Kluyveromyces lactis: one gene and its partner. The protein of the gene in region 1 interacts with the protein of each later gene in a pairwise test. Links are inferred from orthologs where the notes say so. Each region holds a gene or a part of one and is shown on either strand. Other genes may lie near its edges.

Region 1 (2,824 bases):
CAACAACAACCCTATATGGCATAATTTTCTTGTAATCTGAATCATAATACGAACCCTTGAATTCGATGTCACGAACAGCAACAGTCTTAGCCACACCTGGAGTCTCTGGATCATCGAGATCAGCGACTAGTTTGATGTCCGCTTGGCTCACGGGGACAGGGAAACTCACCATATGACTGTTCTGCCCCTGTTGCCAAAATTGCTTGGGCACAGGAACAGTGTTGGTGGGTCCATTCTCATCCAAAATATACCCGTTTGTATGCACGTCGTGCTGCGTAATGGCACAAACATTGCCCTTAAACTTTCCATTTACTATCACCACTCTATCACCTGGCATATATTTCCATTGCTTTACACTCTTATACTTCTCGGATTCTTCGACACGAGGCAACGATGGTTTCAAGAACTCTGGCATCGTCAAACCTTCATACTTGGCAAATTGTTTCGCAATATTAGAGTTCTTCGCTTGAACTTGCTCCAAAAAACGGGCACCAGCCTTCGATAAATGTTTATATGAAGACATACCCGCTGATCTATTTTATTCTAGTATCGAATACCACCGTCCTTTTCACAGAACATAAACCATTTGTGGTTCATTCCATAGTACCATATTGATACATATGTCTTTCTTGATTCCGTTCCTTCAAGTTTTTCATCGACAAATTTTTTTGGAAGGGAAAAATGAAAGCACGTGATCCGAATTAGACTATCAGATTCTTCGCATTTGATTTAGTATTATAGCTTGATGTTACATAGGATATACAAGGTGAGATATACATGCGGCACAGGGCTCCAGCTGTGGCAATGGAAATGGTCGTGAAGCACTAATTGTCAGTGCATATAGCAATGAACTCTTCTTCATTGATCTCTCCGTCATCGTCAAGATCAAACTCATCAATCATGGCACGTAGTTCTTCGTCTGTAAGGTTTTCACCTAGTTCGTGAGCTACACGTTTCAAATTCTTCAATGAGATCTTGCCCGTGTTATCATCGTCGAATAGCCTGAAGGCACGTTTAATTTCATCCAATGGGTCTCTTTGCAATATTTTTTCTCCTACTACCAGGTAAAAATCCTCGTATTGTATTAACCGGCGTCCGTCTGCATCATACCTATCGATAAGTTCTAATATGTCTCCTTTACTGAGTTCAAAACCCAATGCCCTTAGAGCGACTTTGAATTCATGATAGTCGAGATATCCATCATTGTTCATATCAAAGAGTGAGAACGCCTCGTATATTTCTTGTTTCTGTTCTTCTAATAATTCCTTTTGTAAAGTGGATTTATCCACGGATTTCGCTACTCGTCCACTGGGCCTTCTGTTATTCATGTTTCTATGATCCGAATTGGGTTAGATTTCTTGCCGTTGTGAGTCTTGGCTGTAAGTCAATCGAACCTCTTAATTTACCTCTTTTGCTGCACGCGTAAACTTCGTGAAACTTCTTTAAAATATGTTTAAAGATTTCATGTTTATGATTATTTTGACAATATTGAGTTTAAGGAACATAAACACATATCCTGAAAGAAATGAAGGCAATAACTGATGAATACCTTACAGTACTGCCAGATCAACTACTCTTTAGTTCTAAAATGAAACAATGGATCTGGAATTAGGAGATAGGGTAGTGCTACGCAGCCTGGCAGGAACTGTACGGTTTATAGGCGAGACGCAGTTTGCAGCGGGGATTTGGATCGGTGTTGAGTTAGATGAACCCTTAGGGAAGAACGATGGTAGCGTCAAGGGAGTCAGGTACTTTGAACTCAGTGAGGGTAGAAAAGGTCGGATGTATGGTATATTCAGTAGAAGAGAGGGTATCTATAAAAATTCTGCACCGAACTCGCAACAATTTCAGGATCCTGATACTACGAATTCTAACTCATCAGATCCCGAACGATTGAAAAAGATCATTGGAAGATTGGAAGTTAAACTCAAGTCAGTTAATGACAAATGTATTTCGTTTGAAAAGGAGCTGGGATTGAGATCAAAAGAGCTTGAAAAAGTGCAATTTCTCGAGGAACAATTGGAGAAATTAACTTTAGGACGAGATGAGGCAGAGCAACGCAATGATTCACTGATATTTGAATTAGAAAGCTTGACCATTGCTCATGAAAGTGCTTTGAAGGAGCTTAATGATTATAAAGAAGAAATTTTAATAAGAAGAAAAGCAGACGTTGATGTCAACACTGATCAGATAGAATCAGTAGAATCAGATGCCCTTATCAAGCAAAACAGATTATTAACGGTTGCACTACAAAAGCTGCAATCAGACCTAACAGAAATACAGAAACAATGCAACGGTTTGAAAAATAGTAATGAAGAACTGCAAACCCAGGCAGAGACATATTTGCGAACAATATCAGCCTTAGAGAGTAAACTATTTGAAACAACAAAAACATTAGATGAATTGAAACAGCACTTCAGTGCGAATAGTAATTCTAATAACATCATTGAATCTCTTACTACAGAAAACCATCAATTAAGTACGGAGCTTGATTGTCTTAAGTCAGAGTTACTCAAGTTGAAACAAACTCAATTGGCAGATGAAGAACTAGAAGCACTTTATAAAGAGGTCGAATCGGAGCTAAATTCTCAAATAGCGAAACTTCAGGAAACTCTCTCTACTGACGAGAGCATAATTAACGCATTGAAGGAAAACAACAAAACCTTAAAGAATGAATTACAATCACTGCAAAATAAATCGGGGCAATATTCTCAAGAAATGTCACCAGAAGTTGAAGAATTACAAGCAGAACTTACTTCGTTACAATTAAGGAATAATGAGCTTCAATTCCAGAACGAGGTATCTTCTGCAAAGCTTAGCCATC
Region 2 (3,479 bases), on another chromosome or scaffold:
TTATGCAATGGCAAATTAACCTTTACAAGGGAAGATAAAGTTCAAAGGTCAATAAAAAAAATAATAATTATAATAAAACCCAGTCCTTACCTGTGAAAAAATTGGGATAAATTCCTTCTGAATTTCTTGTAAAGTGATTATGATTAGCGTTCTTGTAAATAAAAACCACAACAAGCTTAAAACCTGTGTTTGGAAGTATTTCTTGCACCTTTTCTTTTCAACAAGAAACACTCACTCACTATAGGAAAATTCAATAGCTCAAACAAAGAACAGCCCTATATCACTACTCTTTGTTGATGGCTAAAAGCTTGTTAACAAAGTAGTTAGCTATAAGGATGTTTCCTTCTCTCTTTGTTTTCTGTTGTAATCATCAGTCCTTTTACAAAAATAATGGAAACTTCAACAAAATTTCAACTTCTCTTCAATTTCTTACTTTTTTTTGCAGAATGTGACCTGGAAGACAAACAGATATATGTGAGAGCATTCTTATATCTATATAGACATGTCTGTAAAAATTGAGTCTTCCAAAAGTGTTTCACGACTGGGTATGATAGTGGGACCCGAATCAGGTTAGGAGGGGCTGTGTCATCTATTTTTACATACTATATGTATATTATCTATCATTTACTTATCGAGCCAGGAATCTTCCTGGTTCAACGAAAATCTAGAGACGATCTTTTCATTGATATTAGGGAAGATTACTGAGATATCGTTAGTCTTCATCGTAACGCACACTTGCAGGCTTGGAAACACATTTCCCTTCCACAATTGTTGAATTGAAAGTGTGACAAGGATATTTTCAAGTGATTCTGCGGTGTAATTGTCTTTATATATCGATGGCATTTCAGGTGGATATAAACCGATGGATTTTGCTAGAATTGGTCTTATCACAGAGTATGGTAGTTTATTTGAATTGCGCGGTATACAGTAGTATAGGAAAATAGATCGCAAAAGGGATCTGAACGTTATAATGGGTAGCTTTTCCAATAGAACAATCAACAATTTAGATGATTTCAGCCACGATTCGTTCTCGTAAAGCCAGAAGTTTACTCTGTTCAAGTTTCCGTTTTTAACGGCAATCACAAGAGCTGTGTATTTCTGTGCTAGGATAGGGTCCCATTGAGATAACTTGTTGAAATCTGGCAACTTGCTGATAATGATACCACATGGAACTAAAAACTTCAACAATCTTCTCCTGTTGTTCTGTTTCGCAATAGAGTCGGGTAATGTGGCTAGGAGTTCGTAACATTGGTTCAACTGATGGAAAGCATTAACCATTCTATGGTTTAATAGGTAATATCTCCCCAAGTAATACCTATACTGGATTCTCTCTGTCAACGGGTATTGGTTGAACGAATAGATATTAGACTTTGGTTTCAAATTCTTGAAGATGTTAGCGCACGAAGATGGGGAGTTAATCTTGAAATAAATCATGTTCAATTTGTTTGAAATATAAAGCAAGACCTTCTGTTTCCCTGACAAATGATCAAATTCGACCTTATCATCATCGACCCTGGCTTTAATGCTATTGAACAATTTGGAAATGATGGAAGCAATATGGGTCAGAAACTGATGCTGTCTTGTACCAATGATCTTATGGTTAGCATCCAATCTAATAGCCATTGGAATGACCAATTCTGTTGTAGCTGTAAACAGTGGTACCAAAGAATCAATAGGGTACATTGTTGTCTCGTTTGTGAGACATGTATTCAAATCCTGGTAATATTGGAACACAGAGAAGGACGATTCCCATAATGAATATGGATTCAGTTCTTTACAGTACCCAAGAAATGAACTTACCAAATTATTAAACCTGGTCCATCTGTTCTCATAAAGAGAATGTGAATTTATCAGGGTCTCAAGGTCAATGCTGTCATTGGATCTCAAAAACTGTTGCAATTCAAGAATTAATTGTCCATTTCTTTCGATGTTTATATCCAATACACTAAAATCACCTGCCTTTAGAGCCCCAAAGAAATGGTCCATAACCAAAAACCACAAAGGAAAATCCACTGGCGCTTTTCAATTCAAAGTTTGTCCTATAAAGGTGATCTGAGTCAAATGTCAACCAGAAGTTTTTCTGATTTGTCTGATTCTAACCTTAATATTAGATGAGCCAGGTACAATGTTTCAAGAGACCATGATTTCCGTTTGTTGATTTTTCTTGTCACGTGATCGATAAAGTCACTTGAAGACTTGCCTCGACATATATCCATAAACACTCTTTGGGGTTTACATACAGTGTTTCGCCTAATCCCAACCTCCGAATGCGCTTGCTAACGATATGGACACCTTTCTGCTATTGTGTATGATGAACCATACTTTTACAGCTTCCTCAGTAAGAAGCCCCAAACATCAACTAATCAAAGTCACGTGCCGGAAAAATTTTCTCTCATTTTCGATTTTCCCCGGCATTTCTTCGTCTGCACCAATCTCATCGAGCATGAATCGGATCCTCATTCGTTGGCTCTCTCGAGAAATATTTCAATTTCGTTGATTTCAATTTGCAGTAACTTTCTTCTTTCCATGCACTTTATTTCAACTTCTGGGGTTAGCGATTGCTTATGTTCCATTGATTCTTAGTTCATAGCAGGATCGTACACAGAATCACGTATTAACTAACTCGAGAAAAATGTCTAACACTGAAAGAACTTTCATTGCTATCAAGCCAGATGGTGTTCAAAGAGGTTTGATCTCTAAGATCTTAGCTCGTTTTGAAGACAGAGGTTACAAATTGGTTGGTATTAAGTTGGTTACTCCAACCGAAGCTTTGTTGAAGGAGCACTACGCTGACTTGGTTTCCAAGCCATTCTTCCCATCTCTATTGTCTTACATGACTTCTGGTCCAGTTTTAGCTACTGTCTGGGAAGGTAAGGATGTTGTTAAGCAAGGTCGTGCTATCTTGGGTGCTACCAACCCATTGCAATCTGCTCCAGGTACCATCAGAGGTGACTTTGCCATTGAAGTTGGTAGAAATGTCTGTCACGGTTCTGACTCTGTTGAATCTGCTGAAAAGGAAATCGGCTTGTGGTTCAAGAAGGAAGAACTTATTGACTACAAGTTGAACCAATTGTCTTGGATCTACGAATAAATGTAACGTTGACAAATTGTTCACTTTATCAATACATATTCTTTCCCACAATTATTCCATATTTAAAGATGTCTTTTCTTATATGATGTGTATCTGTGTGTCGGTATTTATTACTATGTAGATATATCTCAAATACACACATTTTGAAATCCATTAAGCTTTATACTGCGATGTTGTATTCATATTTGTAACCCCGACTTGCGTTGGGTATATTCACGTTTCTACCAGCTTACTGATACGATTACGGTTCAATTTGCATTTATGTTTGTCATAGTATTATTTTACTTAATTGCACTAAAAAATTTCAGTTAGCACATCTGTTCTTCATCACAAATGCATCCCTAACGAAAACATGAGCTGTTATCACAATACCTCAGACAAGATCCTT

Evidence for each region.
Region 2: the proteins of CDC31 (region 1) and THP1 interact in binary tests that used the Saccharomyces cerevisiae proteins (3 or more experiments, as listed by UniProt). The link is inferred for Kluyveromyces lactis from reciprocal best matches to the Saccharomyces cerevisiae genes CDC31 and THP1.

Annotation. Positions count from the first base shown.
Region 1 is NC_006039.1:836,033-838,856, forward strand, and holds CDC31 (centrin), read right to left. Parts: upstream 1,329-2,824; coding exon 825-1,328; downstream 1-824. Other genes in the region: MRPL40 (mitochondrial 54S ribosomal protein uL24m), read right to left, coding at 1-523; NIP100 (Nip100p), read left to right, coding at 1,597-2,824. UniProt on the Saccharomyces cerevisiae protein: Functions as a component of the spindle pole body (SPB) half-bridge. At the SPB, it is recruited by KAR1 and MPS3 to the SPB half-bridge and involved in the initial steps of SPB duplication.
Region 2 is NC_006040.1:315,222-318,700, forward strand, and holds THP1 (Thp1p), read right to left. Parts: upstream 1,987-3,479; coding exon 625-1,986; downstream 1-624. Other genes in the region: YNK1 (nucleoside diphosphate kinase), read left to right, coding at 2,633-3,091. UniProt on the Saccharomyces cerevisiae protein: Component of the SAC3-THP1 complex, which functions in transcription-coupled mRNA export from the nucleus to the cytoplasm.